Tribolium castaneum: one gene and its partner. The protein of the gene in region 2 purifies or fractionates together with the protein of the main gene of each other region. This does not show direct contact. Links are inferred from orthologs where the notes say so. Each region holds a gene or a part of one and is shown on either strand. Other genes may lie near its edges.

Region 1 (7,762 bases), on a different chromosome or scaffold from region 2:
CTTAACAATTTAAAGTTTTTTCAAAGATTTAAAATTACAAAAAATACATTGAAAGAAGATATTAATGAAAGAAATGTTTTAGAAAACAAAGATTTTTTTGCATAAAACGTAAATGCTGATTACCAATCACAGAGCATTCTGTCAGGTTTATGACCTTTGTTCTTTAATTTTTATTTCCAATCCCAAGAGCTTCATTTTTTACTTTTTTTTGCTTACGTTTTTTTCTGTGTTTTTTTTTAATTGTAAAGAACTTCATAATTGTTTTTATTATTAATAGTAGCATAGTATTTAGTTAATATAAATAATAGTTAATGATTGCAAAGTTAAGCTAACTGTGAAACCTAAGTATACCTATAAAATTCTGAAACGGCTTCATTTAACTTATTAATTGGAAATGTACTTCACAATTTTTAAGCTAGTTATAACAACACTAAAAAAAACTTAAGTTAACAGTGATACCATCCATCAAAACTTTTAGATAAAATCAAAAATTATGTTAGCCAAACAAGTATGTATTTAAAAGGTGAAAACATCTTCAAAATTGTTAGAATTTCAAAAAAAACTGAAAAGGTGGATAGTTCAGTAGACAATGATTTAGGTAAGGGTTCAATAAATTTGGCAGTATCAAATTGAAGCATTCTAGATTTATTTACTCCAAAATAAAGCTAACTTTTGGGAAATTGTTTTATTTTATTATTTTCCACAATCATAGGTACCATAAATACCAACACTAAAACTTTTAGCCTGCATTTAAAAAAAAAACGCAATTTAAAGAGTGATCTTCAAACCCATCTTTGTGGGAAAGCCCCGAATATTTTTTTTCTTCTTCTAAATTTAGACTTCTGAAGTGATTCTCTACAATGCTCTGAACTATGGATTCGCCAATTTTGAGACACTCTGTACGTGTAAAATCTCTGAGCAGTTCAAGATAGAGGAAACTTTGAATTTGAGATTACACTCCACAGGAAGGTCAAAAGAAACATTTAAATGTGAGATTTTTGGAAACATTAAATCAAAGCTAGAATTTCTAAAAATAAAAATAATAATATGTAAAAGTTGAAGAAAATAAAGTGAAAATGAAACATTAAATGAAAGATTTTCGTCTTTTGATGAATACGAAAGCAGTGATAAACAAAAAATAGAAAGTGCTATTTAAAAGAAACATAATACATAACTAACATTGCTTTGAACTTCTTTCTCGCATATACAATATACAGTGCAATGCAAGGGGGAATCTGCTAAAAGCGTATCTTCAATGAAGACAGTTCTAACAAAATTTTAAAAAAACTTACGCTTTTATGATTTATTGTTTAAAAAACAGTTCGTTTCTTACCTATCCTTATCGTCCTTTTTATCCCGACTTCTCTCCTCCTTGGGCGGCGTCCCCTTGTGATCCCTTCGACTGCTCCCCGTGCTACCTTTAGACCGACTTGGTGAGCCCTTCTTATCCCTTGAATGCGACGAATCTGGAGTATCCCTCTTCTTAGTGTCTTTCGTCGACCTGCTGTCCCGTTTCGGCGACCTTGACTCTTTCTTTTTATGGTCATCCTTCTCCCTATCTTTCTTGTTCCTTTCCTTCTCCTTTTCGCGTTCGCGTTCCTTCTCCCGCTCCCGCTCTCTTTCCTTTTCCCTCTCCCGTTCCTTCTCCTTTTCCCGTTCTTTCTCTTTTTCTTTCTCCTTCTCCTTTTCTTTAGGTTTGGGAGAGGGCGTGTGGTGTTTCTCCTTACGGTCGCTTGACCGACTCGTGGGCCTTGGGGACTTTGCTGGGGGGAGCCCCGGCTTGATTTTGGGGGGCGGTGTTTGCGACTGTTTCCGACTGCGTTGCGGTGTTGGAGACTTGGCTTTTGGGGCTGTTTTAGTTGTTTTTTTAGTTTTGTCGGTGCGTTGTGACGATTTTGAGGATGTTCGTTTCGTTTTTGGTTTCTTTTTCGGGGGGCGCTCCGATGAGGATGAGGAGGAGTCGCGTTTGGTTTTGGTTTTTTTACTCTTCTTCCGACGCGTTTCTATGGACGAGGAGCTGCTGGAGGTGGAGTCGTCACTTGAGGAGGACGAGTCCGAGGATGATGACGAGCTTTCGGTCGAGGGGCTGCTCTCCTTCTTGGTTTTCTTGTCCTTTTTCCGGGCTTTGTTCTCCATTTTCATTTGTAGTTCGAGTTCTCTTTGCAGTTCTTGCCGGCGCTTTTCTAGATCATCAGGGTCGGCGTCGGCTAGTTCCTCCGGGTCCCAGTGGTCCCAATCCTCGTCTGGGTTTCCGGGATGGACCCGTTTATTTGCATTGTCCTTGCGCTGGGTCTTGGCCGCCCGTTTCGAGGGGCTGATCAGGGTGTGGGTGGAGGAGTACTTGCAGCCTTTTCCGTAGGGGCAGGTGCCGCTCTGGGCCCAGTGGTGGCAAAAGTCCTGGCTGGTGCTGGCTTTGGTGCCCAGACGCTCGAACACGCTGGGGCGAGGCTTCGAGACTTCTTTGCTTTTCGGAGTTAGGTTCACGGTTATTTTGCGCTTGACCTGTTTAGACATTTTCACTCAGAGTTCGCGAGGTGAGGAGGAAAAATTGCGAAGCACTTGACGCTACCATATTTACGTTTGACGTTGCCGGCATGGGAGACTGTGGGCTTATCGGCTAGGGGCCTCCTTACATCATGCCGCACAGATGGCGCCCAAAAAACACAATTTCGACTTGCAAACGCCCGATGGACACTTTTTTGATCAATCAAACGAGATTTTAGCCAATTCCCAAAAAACTGGAACGATTTGTTTTGCAAAAATGTAGCCACTTGACAGGTGATAGTTTTTTGACATTTAACAGACAACACCAGTGGCGGTCTCAACCTGAAATTTTACGGGAACAAAAATTTTAAAACTCAAAATCTGTCGATAATGTACACTTTATTATGATATATTTTTGATTATGCCCCACTTGCGAATGATTTAGATATTAATTTCGTAGTTTTGGTCTGTTTCAAATTGTTTTTATTTATTGACAAAAAGTCAGTAGCGTCGCGGCCAACATTTCAACAGGAGCAAAAATATTAAAAGCACTGTTTAAAGACCAATTTTCCATTAAGCAGCTTTCGCATTTTTAGTTCAATCAGTGATAAAGGCACATTTAATTAAATTAATCAAAATTCGTAATGTGGTCTTCAAACAAAAAGAGAGGTTATGTTGACAGTTGTTTGTGTTGTGTTATTGTGTAAAGGAAAAATAGAAATGTAACACTTAAAAAATGTTCAATTCCTGCGACAAACAGAGAAATGATTAACGATGTACGCCCCCAAAAAACCTAAACTACGATTTTTGTTAAAACTTGGAATTTTAATTGCTGCGTTATTAGTTGTTTATTTTACGTTTTTTCATTACAATTCCGATGGTTCTGCTAACGATGCAACATTTTTGTTGCCATTCAAAAAGCCTAAAGAATACAATGTCTGGTTGATATTTACTAAAGTCTCTCAAAGGTCGCCGTTAAGATATAAATTCCACAACTTGTTGGAGAATATTTTAAACATAAGTTCTGTTCCTTTAAAGTTCCATATTATTGTTGATAATAGCTCAAAGCAATTAGCAGTAGGTGAAATATCAGATGTGGTGTCGCATTCGAATAAAGCAATATTTTATAAATTTTATGATGTTGAAGCGTGTGCAAGAGCGATTAGTGATATTGTCGACGTTATGACCCCTCATTTTAGTTCAAAACCGGGTAAAAAGGCTTACTTTTTAATTGCACTATTACTAGTTTTGACTTCAGGTACTTACTACAGCGACGCACTTTTCTATATTTCTTTGGGGCTGTATCGGATAGCCCCACCTTCCCAGCGAACTGCCCTTCTACTAGACTGTGATTTATACTTTAAGAAGGATATTCGATTAGTGTTTGAGGAGTTTGACAAGTGAGTTTATGAAATTTCTTATTCTGGTCAAAGTGACCTGTGACTGACATGAAGTCATAGATCACTTTGATCGGAATTTAATTCAACTGTTTGATAGGTTTAAGCCAACTGCGCTTTTTGGTTTGGCCCCCGAGCTGACTCCAGTCTACCGTCACGTCCTCCAAACCTATAAAGTGAAAAAGAACTCAACATTCGGAGAATATTATCATTCCAAGGCGATATCGAGCAATATGCAGCATCCTCGTGGCTTCCAGGGCTATAATTCCGGTGTTGTTTTGATTAATTTAAGTGCAATAAGAAAATCAAAGGAATATTCCCAAATTATCAGGAATGAAACTGTGCAATATCTCACGTCCAAATACAAATTTCGAGGTCATTTGGGTGACCAGGATTTTTATACTTTGATAGGGTTTGAATATCCTGATTTGATTCAAACCATAAATTGTGGTTTCAATCGCCAATTGTGCGTCTGGTGGCGAGAGCATGGCTACCGTGATGTTTTTGATTTTTATTTCAAGTGTCAACACCCCGCTGTTATTTTACATGGAAATTGCAACACGAAAATTCCAAAATAAATTAAAGACTGGTCATCTATTCGTGGAATCTCTACACGTCCACTAGTAGTTTTGGGAAAATTTGAGTTGGCAGCATTGGTTATTGCCAATCAAACAATCATGTGGTATGACCCGGTATATTAGGTACGAGTGCATTACTGGGTTGTGAAAGTACTCATTTATTTTCTTGTTTGTAAAACAGTATTTTTCAAAAATAAACAGTTTTTTATTTTTCGATTTGTTTTCTTAAGAATTGAAAAAAAATCCCATGATAGTCGAAATACATGTATTTAAATCTATAGATCGGTTACAATATAGGAATACAACAGGAAACATTCGAGTAATAAAACTTCGTATTCAGTGAGTTATAAATAGTGAATTTAAAAATTCAAAAATTGCAAAGCACTGGGTTCATTATTACAGTTTGTAAGCCTGTCTCATCATTAGGTCGAAATAGCCGTCATTGTCGATCGAGGCACTGATGGCCGAATAATAATTAAAAAATTCTTCGTGGGTTACCTACAGAAATTAATTAAAACTTTTGTTCAATCTTCATTAACCAACCTGTCCGTCTTTGGTGGCGTCCTGTTCAAAATTTGCTAGAAATCGTTTCAGAATATTTTCCTCAGTTTCTTCGCCTGAAATGTATCGAGGATGGGCTTTGACGTTGTAAACATTTTTCAAATCGTCTATTGTGATCACTCCGTCTCCCGTTTTGTCCATTTTCTTGAACGCTTCTTCAACGACTTTCTTGCGTGACTCAGACATTGGGGGCTGGAATAAAATATTCAGAAACTAGGTCACAAGCAACAAGTCCTTGATCTAAGTAGTGTTTACGCGAAATGTGGTCGCTTATTTACTGAATTTAAGAGTCTTGGAGCTTTGTGTATTGATGATTTAATGACAAATCATTGGCGAATAATTTGGAAAAGTAAGGTGTTTCATGTTTTAACTTCGTATGAAATGATTTATGAAACTTTTTCAATCAATATTAATTTAACGATCGATTTTTTTGAATGTTTCAAAGTTGAAGACCACGTTTGCATGCATCCACAGTCCTTACAAAATAAGAGATATTTTAAAATTATAATTTCGACCTTCCCCAAATAATTGAAATACTTTTAGTTTTTTAATTATCACTCGAGTGAAAAAATTATAGTGCAACGTGAAATAATTAATACATTTTATTAATCAGAAATAGATTTTACCTCTAAGTAACGTAATTACGAGCAATTGATTGTTTGCAGCATGAGCGAAGGGAGTAGGAAATTACATTCCAAATAAGTTAGGTACAATATTTTTTGTAACAAATAATTCAGTAAAATAAAAAAAATATTTTTCATAATTTCCAAATGGGTTGGTGAGTGGTTTACTAGTGTAGTAAGAATTATCAAATTTAATAAATGTCATTTTTCGTAAAAAAATGTCGCGTCTAATCTAACGGAAGCAGTATCTAATAATAATAAATATTCCAAGATGTTACTGAAAAGTAAAAAATATTGCAGTGAAGAAAATGCTTGTTTCCACCCTCTGAAGATAACACAAAATAATTATCTAAAAGCTATAGGTAACTACAAAAATAATGTTTACGGTAAACGCTTTTTATTTAAGGGTCTATTAAGCTCTTTTTTACTTTGCACTTAGAAAATTGTTATTTACAGTGCTTTTATTGTCACTATTATGTGTACACCTACATTAATCGATTTTTAAAAATGTTACAAAGTTGAAGACCGTAACAACATGTATGATTTATTGACAATAATTGCAAAATAATTTAACATGATGAGTTTTACGCTCGCCGTTTCACGTAAAATTTTTACTTCTACAGAAACGAAATGGTTTTTAATTTTTTAATTACGTTCAAGTTATATTTCTAATGAAAAAAATTATAGGTAACATGTTTTTTTACAATGGGATGTCGTTTCATCACAAGCCAATTTTTATTTCGTTTTAAAGATCATGCGATCATTTGAGTTTATAATAAGAGTAGGCGTTTTTTCCTTGTGATTGATAAACTAGTGCAAACAGGGGGGAAAATGTATTATAATTAACGATTAGGTATGTTATTAGTAGATACTTCTGCTTGATTAATTATCATTATCAGAGGTTTATTCATATAATTTAAAAACATATTATAAAGAGTAAAGCCTACTCTAATTATAAATTAAAATTATCACATAATAATAGTATTTGTAACCGACTTTTTAAAACTCAATAGTTTAATGTTTAAAATACAGTAACATAATTAGGTCAAAATACAAAAAATGAAAAAAATATAAATACAAAAATATAGTGATGACATTTTAATAAAGAAAAATAAAGTGGCCATCAAAAAGTTGTTTTTTCTTACACAAATGGTGTTTTCGCCTGTGTGCAGGTTTGTTATCTGTTTATAAAGACCCGCTATATTTTTTCAAATTAAGAAGTAATAGACATTTGGGGTAAAAGTGAGTATAACTGATATAATAAAAAAAATCCAATAAATAAAGCAACAAAAAAATATTTATTAATTTTTTTTAAGTTTGTCACAAAACGTTAAAATGGCGTGTAAGAAAATGATAATGAAAGTAAAATTCCTAAAGTTATTGTTGCTGTATTTGGGAAAATAGAAATTTAATTGTTTATAAAAAAGTATTCTAAAATATTGTAGGGTTCCTGCAAAATATTTTCTGATAAATGAATTTTTAAAGTCCAAATTCATTATTTTTAAAGCAAATACAACTTGATCCAAAATTTTGTAAAAACGTAAATTTTGTATTTATTCTAGCACAACTTTAAGATTAAGATGAACATAAGGTGTCTGTAGTCAAAATGTTTTGTTTCTTTTCTTCGGCGTACAGTTTGCATCCTTGGAAAATTTAATTTTCTTGCAATTTTTTGTTTACCTAAGCAATTTAATCCGTTTTTTTTTCAAAATGTGTTACCCCAGTTCTACTTGTTCTCAGTATAGTACAGTTCAGCCTTAACTAAACGAGTAAAATTTAATAAAAATAGCAATCTGAAATGGTTAATGCCTTTTCTAAAAAGGTAAAGACCACAAATTTTACAAAGAATTTTTATGGGTACCCCTCTCTAGCCCCCTGAAAATGCATTTTTAAAATTGGGTCGAAACCAGGGTTGGAAATAAAAATATTATTTACAAAGTAAGAAGTAAAGAAAAAAACATTTTTTGTAACTTTCTTGGCATTAGAATAAATAAAAGCTCTTATTATTTATTCTAACTTGTAATTTATAAAAGAGCCATTTGCATAATTTTAATATTGTAATAGCAGAGGTGATCAAGAAGTGAGTTGGCAAACCTGAATTTCACGTAAAAACGGTGCA
Region 2 (8,208 bases):
CAATACCAGGAACCAATAAATCACTCAATTTTATGTTTGTGGTTACCGTAAATAAAGCGAAGCACTAATTTCAAGACGTACGTGGTCAATAACAAAAACACGAAAAGTCCAGAAGCTAGAATAACAACAACATCCACCAAATAATACTGATACCAGGCCAAGTCCGCCCCTGCACTTCGCAATTGCGGAGCTCCCTTATGCCTTATCACATATTCCACCCAATAAATGGCCGTGTCTAAGGCAGACAAAGGCCGATCTTTAAACTGTTTCGAAACGCGTTCAGCATTTTGCTTGTACGTTGGGTCTTCTAGTAATTTTTTCGAAGCCTCAAGTATAGTTTTCTTGCTGATATCGTCGTATGCCACTTTAATGGTAAGTCCCATGCGTTCAGAAGCACGGATGTTGTTGTCCTGATCGGCGAAAAGTGGGATTCCCAAACGGGGAACCCCACAGTAGACGGCTTCCTGACTCCCCATCAAACCGCCATGGGAGACAAATAACTTAACGTTCGGGTGGCCTAAAAATTACGTTAATTTCAGTTCAATTAATAAACAGTAAAGTACATAAAATGTCCATCTGGGGCATCCAGTTTTCGAAATGAATGTTTTTGGGGATTTTTAGCCCCTGAGGGAAGTTTTCGCGTTTCGCTTTCCATAAAACTTTGTACGGGAGTTCGGAAAAAGCATCAAACATTCCTTGCAGTTTTTCCGGGTCGAAGGTTTCAGTCATGATCATGGACCCCATTGTTAGGTAAATTATGCCTTTGTTGGCGTCACTTGTGACCAGATTTTCAAAATACTGCAAATGTGTGCTTGAATACCAAAACAAAACAAAGATGGGGGGGGGAATTACTTTGGATAATGGTTTAGGCTCATGGATGTGGAGCCCCCCGACTTCAATAAAATTAGGTACAGTTGGTCTTGAATGCGAAATACTGAAGTGACTATTTACTATCACAAGACTAGTGTTTTGGGCCAACTCTTCCAGAGATGGTAACTCGGGCCCGAAAAATTCCTTTGCGATTTTGTTCGATTCCTTTGACGAGAAGTAGTGGTACCTTTAATTTTTGTTAAATGATTTAGAATTACTTATCACAAACTTACAAAAACTTGGTATAAAGCAACATAATTGTGTTTTCGACTCTCTCAAAGAGGCTCATTTTTGCGGTGGTTGAAACAAAATAGTTTGGAATGTAGGAGGGGTTGTCTGGATTCCCAATCCTGTCCCCGGCCCATGGCAAACTTATACTACTTATTAGAGAGACAGTTGGGGCTTTAAAATAGTGACCAAAGCCCAGCATACAATCCGAGCCGAAAATTTCAGTAACCACAAGATCGTACTTTTTTTTGGTTTTCTTTAAGTCGCGCAAAACTGGCGTGTTTAGAGTCGCTGCACAAACATCAACGCCACAAATTTTGGTCATGAAGTGAATCATGTGGAAGTTTGTGAAGCCGTCAAATGCATTGAGGGATAAATTATTGACGAAAATCGGCAGACTTCCGACTAGACTTAGCTGATTATACCTACAATTTTTAATAAGTGTGATAGGGAAAAAATTGTTTTTACCTGGCAGGTGGATCCTTTGTCGGAAAATGGGTGGCAATATCAACATTGTGGCCTTTTTCTGCAAGGCCTATTAACAGGCGTTCAAACATAACGAAGTGGCTTTTGCCAGGCATGGGGAAAATTCCGAGAATGTTGGCAGTTTGTCCGATTGCGAAAGTCGAAATAACAATAAAAAATACCGAACGCATTGTAAATTTATTGCAAATCTCACTGTGATAACTAGGTGATCCTCTGCTTTGATCGTTATATAAGATGTTGGCGAGTAATTGGCTTGTTGCGTGTTGGGGCACTTAGTTTCTCCTATTATTTTAAAGATGACACAGCACAAACGATTTGTAGAGAGTCTACCAAAAAATATAGCTTCTATACTAACACAATTAACTAATTATCGTGTAGTGAGTACTCGTGAGATCACTAATTAACTTTCAATTATGAAAAATTATGACCAACTGCACGGAAATTAAAGACTGCGCTTACAAAAGCTTTTAGTTTTGGATGTTCGAGTGACTATCATGTTTGTAGATTGATAAAAGCCATGAGTCTTCTGAATGTACCAAACGACAAAAATTTTCAAAGATAATCATTGTACTACATTAAGTAATAATCTTTGACCCAGATATTGAACGAGACCTAATTTCAATATTTCAATATAGTTTAATGCATTGGCAACTTCTCCTTCTAGATAATGCTCGACTTGTGATTAATTATGAGAATGAAAAGGCAGAATTTTTATTGCAATTGTAAACAATTTTAAATGGTGCACTAATCGAAACTAACTTCAAACAATTTTTTATTAGCGTGTTTTACTTACCGCCTAAAATCTTCAACTAACTATAACAAAAAAAAATGTAGCACATACTTTTCTATGAGTTTTTAAATACTGCTCTGCCACAAACTGAAGTAATAATATTATGTAAGTGCTGCTGCAGCGATTCAAAGTCTATAAAGAAAATTAACAAACTCAATTAAAATAAATCACAGCGGTAATAAAATAATAAAAGACCAACACAAATTCAATAAATTTTGTATTGTTTTGAATGTCGGTTGCGTAATAAACATTTTATTATTTCTGCGACTGTCTTGGTCATGTGCTTTTATTATTAACTCATTTGAAACACTTGAAACCAACATAGACCAAACAAAAGATGAAAATTTTTATTTTGCAAAAACTGCGTTTTGTATAGAAAATTTTGCTAATTTATCCCTCACTAAAATAAATACATGATAAATCACTTTATTAAACGAAGATTAAAGTTATCTGCCATATAACAATTAGGTACTATCTGGAATAGTAAAGTGTTTGATAAAACAATAATTAATTGTCTGGTACAAACGGATTTTTATACAGCTGCACATACAATGTAGTGTTTTGTGTTTCTCATATTTGCATTTTGTAAGGTGCTGTAGTTTTTTATTTAACAGGACACTCAAGTTGTCTCTTTCAACCACGAATATTTTTTTATAATTGTATAGAGTGTTATGCAACCATTACTACGGTGTGCTCACATTGTATTCTATTTTTTAGTCAATCTAAGATTAGAAGAGTCCGGAAAAGTACTACTTTACGGACGATTTCAAAATAAAATAATAGAAAAACAAAATAAAACAGCCCACATTTTTGTTAATTTATATTTATAAAATTTACAAATCAACAAATCACAGTTTTCTATTATCATTATTGGCTATTGGGATAAAAAGTCCGGTTAATTAGTTGGTTAACAATTTAATGTCCTTCAAGGGCCAGACTCGACACAGGGCCCTACTGCGGATGAGCCCTTGGGGCACTGGCCCATAGTTCCTAGAATCGGAAGAATTACCCGAATTATCGCCCTCCAACCACACGTGACCTCTAGGCACGATTTCGTAATTATTAAAACCAAGCCTAATTTTATCCCCCGGTAAACCAACCACTCTCTTACAGATATTTTGCTTAGGGTTGGAAGGACATTTAGCTATGACAATATTTCCTCTATCTATTCGATTCAGCCTAGCACTGACGTGTTCAGTTAGTAAAATATCATCGGAGTAAATCGTTGGCTCCATTGAAGGCCCTGAACACTAAAATTGTGGATTCGTTAAACAACGATAATTTTTTTAACTTTGTTACCAGAACAAAATCGCCTAGATATTCGAAAGTGCAGTGTGCCACACAGGCATATTGAATTACAAAGCCCACCGAACCCAGCGTTTTCCAAAAAAGCTTCCGCATAGCGATTTTTTTGGGGTTATGGGGGTTATGTCACATTTGACACTTGGCCACTCGAGAGGTCTCTCCACTCCCTCTAACAATATTAAAATTAAAAAAGTAATCAAAATAGCAGTTTTGAATCGTAATGATAATTTAAAGAGTAAAAAGTAATGTAATTTTTCTCTAATTAATTTAAAATTGCATTGGCGCCTATTGTCCCCACCACAAGACGCTTATCAATGACATAAAAGTGTGCTAGATAGCGCGATAAAAATAATTAAAAAATTCTACAAGGCGATTATCGACTGCCTCGTGGCTTTTTCGTGTCTAGGACAAAAAAATTACCGTTTTGTGAATTTTTTTTGTTTATTTGTTGCTTATTTATGTTTGTGTTGACGATTTTTCTCTTGACGTCATTAGAAACTCGTCCGTTCATTGGCTGAAATGTTACAGTGGTCTATTGTCTGTCAGTTCTTCAGTTGTGGTGATTCTATGGTAGTGAAGTGTCCTTCCTTCTGTCAAATTGTATGACGTACGCTTATGTATTAAATAATTAACAAGAAGCTCAGCTTTTCCATTAACCACTACAGTGTTTTCAGTTAGGCGTCTAATTAATGTCTTATTTCGTTTTAACAAAAACCCTCCAAGTTTAGGCAAATATGCTGTGATATCGTGTTTACAAGTGCTTACACAGGAGACTGTAAAAATCTACAAAAACTGACCCATGCTTCTTATTTCAGTAATATGGTGACACAAGTGAGACAGTTTTAACAAAAAACAGGTGAGAATTTTTCTGTGTAGGTACTGCTTTGTTAACAGTTACGTACAAAAAGCTTATCAATAACCCACTTTGCTATCGATTGTAAACATTTCGTAAACTCCAAAGCCAAGAAACAATGACTAATAAACTACTGCACCCCCAACAACACAATTTATTACTGGAACCAACAGCCGCATTTATTTTTGTACAGTTATTCCTAATGTCACTAAACTTGCATTTGCCCCCAGTTTCCTGAACTGTTTCAAATTTGAAAACGCCGTGTCATCACGAAAATCTCTAAAAAAGTACGGATTAACCGCAGGTGATTTATGACCACAACTTAACCGGTTATAATGAGCCTTCAGCAAGAATTTGTACGTGATTGGAAATGATTTAATTGCTTGTAGTTATTAGAAGTGAGGACTTTTTATTAGATAATATTTCCTCAAAGAAAGTTTTTGCATAAAGCGTTGTAATCTTTAAATGTAACTTTCTCCTTTGTTTACTATTACCACCCGAAGTGTGGTGGGTACTTAATAATTCATTCCAAGAATTACTCATCTTGCAATAAGCGAACATTCCTTTGTTAAATATTATTATTTTTGATAGCACGAACTTCGTAGTGATTTTTTCGAAGGTGAACCACGTTGTAAATTGCGTTTGTAGCGAAAAATTTTTTTGTGGTAAAAATTCATCACTTCGATTGTATTTACATAAGAAATATTGCAGCAACCTTGCAAAATTATCAGTATAGTGTATGAATAATGCAGCAGGAATTTAAATATTACATTACTCGATTTCTAGGATGTTCGACGTTGTAGAATCTGTTAAATCACCTTGCTGTTATAATCGATTTAAATGCAAATACAACGCGGTCAATGCTAGAAATATGGTTGTCTTGTGTCAGTTGCTACCTATTTCATGTTATCGTTATCTCAAACTATTCGTATCAGTATTTTATCTAATAGTAAAATTTATGTGCAGGAGCGAAGTATTCCAAAGTAGAAATCAGAGACAAAAGATCCGAGCGTTTCGTGATGCAAACTTAATCAATAAGCAGGTCAAACACCCAATTATCTCATTTTTCTAAACGTTTTGTTTGGTTTTATGCTTTCTTCATATCGGAACAACAATCTGGAAAGAATATGTGCCGAGTTCAAGTGAAAGCATAATCACGTCTAAATTTTTGAGCGCAAAATATAGTGTTTTGTGCTAGTATTTAATTGCCCACACTTGTAAATAACGGATTAAGCGGTCGATTAGAAAAATAATGAGTGTGTTTAGTTTCAAACTAACGACATAAACAAGTCAGTAAACACAAGTTTAAAGGAAGTGGTCGTGCTTTTATCGGACGGTTCAGTGATGGTTTTGCGGTTATTGATGTCCAAAAAATAATCAACCGACTGACAAGTAGTTTTCAGTTTCAACCAGATTGTGAAAATTGCACAATTCCTTTGTCGTCAAATACTGTTTATTCGGGGCAAACACTAAATAAAAAAATTCATTATCACCGAATTAAATTGTTTGTTTTGTATGGGCATTGTCTGAAAAAATGACTAAAGTCTGGAATAACTCAAATTTATCAAAAAACGCGATAGTTCAACTAATTAATTACGCCTAATACAATGGCAAATAAACAATTGAAATATTTTATTCATACGTGGATTCTTTGAACACTTGACTAATTCCCTTTGTGTTAACAAACTGTTATCAGTCACATTTAACAACCAATTAAGGCAGAAAAAGGTTCGTGAAAATAGCGGCGATTACATAATGCATAGCTTTTAATTTTTTTGTTGTTAAAGATCACAATGCCAAAATGGGCCGGAAAAAAGTGTCGTCTGCTCTCGATGTTGGGGCTGACGACGTCCTTCTTCTTCGTCGAAATAGTCGTAGGTTACATAACAAATTCGATGGCTTTGGTCGCGGACAGTTTCCACATGCTAAGCGACGTGGCCGCCTTGATGGTGGCCTTTGTCTCAGTCAAGGTAAAGCAAATGAAAAGCGTACGATTTTCCCAACTCGGAAAATTCCAGATGTCTCCGAAGAAGTGGTCGAAAAACACGTTCGGTTGGGCCAGAGCTGAAGTCCTTGGTGCTTTAGTCAACGCCGTCTTCCTCGTAGCTCTTTGTTTTTCCATTACAGTGGAAGCTTGCAAACGGTTCATCGAGAGCGAAGCGATTCACGACCCACAATTGTTGGTCATTGTGGGTGCGTTGGGTCTGTTTGTTAATTGTATAGGACTGCTGTTGTTTCATGGTATGGGGACGATTTCGTTTGGTTGTTATTTATGGGCGAGTTTTAGAGCATGGTAGTAGCCATGGTCATTCCCATGGTCGTTTGGCCCATAGTCGAAACCGCCTAACACAACTAGCCATGACTGACGATAACGAAAACGACGAAAGTTATCCCAGTCCTCCGCCGGAGAAATCCTCCCATCATGGGCACTCAAGCCCCGGACAGATGAACATGAGGGGGGTTTTCCTCCACGTGTTGTCCGACGCTTTAGGCTCAGTTATCGTAATTATATCAGCAGTTGTCTTCTGGCTGTCGTCGTGGAAATACAGGAATTACATCGACCCAGCTTTGAGCATACTGCTGGTATTGTTAATAATGAACTCTGTATGGCCTTTGTTGCGAGACTCGGCTTTAATTTTACTACAAACTGTCCCGACGCATATTCAAGTCGACGCAATCCAGCGGAGGTTACTGGCGAAAGTCGACGGAGTCGTAGGAGTGCACGAGTTTCACGTCTGGCAATTGGCCGGAGACCGAATCATAGCTTCAGCCCACATTAAGTAAGGTTTTCTGGTTAATTAACCCTCTCTTAATGTAAATGCCAGGTGCCGTAATTTATCCGAATACATGAAAATCGCGGAAAAAGTCAAAGAATTCTTCCACAACGAAGGCATCCACTCGACGACAATCCAACCAGAGTTCATTGATTACCAAGCTCCGGAAATCACAGATACTGACCAAACCGAAGATTGTGTTCTTGATTGTCCCAAAACCACAGACAGTGACGACTGCGTGCAAAACACATGCTGCGGTCCATCGAAACAAGTAAGTTACGACCGAAAAATCGAAAGTGCGCACATTAAAACAACCGTAAAATAATTGATTTTTTCTTAGTTGGAGAGAAGCCTCTTGAAAGTGAGAGTAAAAAAATAATGCGGCTTGGGTATTAAATTTTGGTTTTTGCTAACAGCTGTGATCCACTGTGTGATTAATGCGAAAAAATCTGTGATTGTTTTAATAAAACTATTTTACCTAACTTGTTTTATTGGTGGCACTAACACTGAAGCATCTCCCAAACAACTAATTGTATTTTAACTTCTTGTTACATGTTGACTTGTTTGTGGGGTGCGTTTGCGGTTCCAGGCGTCAGTTAGCCAACCGTTGTTGTGTTCTAGGGACGTGAGACGCCCTCGCCCAATAACACCCCGTATATGGTCCGTCAGCGCGGCAATTCCAGCAACAGTTCGAACAATTCGCAGGAAATGAACGAAATGGAGGCGGGAGTGCTTTTGGAAAAAGGTAATTCTCCAGTGCCCAAAGACTACAATTGTATCTCAAGGGGTTCACAGTGTTCGCAATACTCAGTAAGACCTGGTTCAGAACCAAGTTTCTGATACCTTGATGTTTCACATATTTTAATTAGGCTCTAGTTACCTTATTAAGTATAAAAAGTCGT

The links. Proteins that work in one complex are often made in the same cells at the same time.
Region 1: the proteins of ZnT63C (region 2) and Xxylt purify together in Homo sapiens (co-immunoprecipitation; 3 studies listed by BioGRID and IntAct, with this or other methods). This does not show direct contact. The link is inferred for Tribolium castaneum from reciprocal best matches to the Homo sapiens genes SLC30A1 and XXYLT1.

What each region holds. Positions count from the first base shown.
Region 1 is NC_087398.1:11,172,571-11,180,332, forward strand, and holds Xxylt (xyloside xylosyltransferase 1), read left to right. Parts: upstream 1-2,965; 5' UTR 2,966-3,258; coding exon 3,259-3,694; intron 3,695-3,742; coding exon 3,743-3,884; intron 3,885-3,981; coding exon 3,982-4,459; 3' UTR 4,460-4,672; downstream 4,673-7,762. Other genes in the region: fl(2)d-associated complex component, read right to left, coding at 1,334-2,514; calcyphosin-like protein, read right to left, coding at 4,856-4,957, 5,003-5,212. UniProt on the Homo sapiens protein: Alpha-1,3-xylosyltransferase, which elongates the O-linked xylose-glucose disaccharide attached to EGF-like repeats in the extracellular domain of target proteins by catalyzing the addition of the second xylose.
Region 2 is NC_087402.1:2,130,795-2,139,002, forward strand, and holds the start of ZnT63C (proton-coupled zinc antiporter SLC30A1), read left to right. Parts: upstream 1-4,061; 5' UTR 4,062-4,535; intron 4,536-6,228; exon of another isoform or gene 6,229-6,260; intron 6,261-6,319; 5' UTR 6,320-6,325; coding exon 6,326-6,502; intron 6,503-6,550; coding exon 6,551-6,773; intron 6,774-6,819; coding exon 6,820-7,312; intron 7,313-7,357; coding exon 7,358-7,577; intron 7,578-7,646; coding exon 7,647-7,667; intron 7,668-7,927; coding exon 7,928-8,146; 3' UTR 8,147-8,208. Other genes in the region: UDP-glycosyltransferase UGT5, read right to left, coding at 21-517, 564-798, 853-1,057, 1,104-1,523, 1,567-1,754; mitochondrial inner membrane protease subunit 1, read right to left, coding at 3,274-3,624, 3,674-3,775. UniProt on the Homo sapiens protein: Zinc ion:proton antiporter that could function at the plasma membrane mediating zinc efflux from cells against its electrochemical gradient protecting them from intracellular zinc accumulation and toxicity.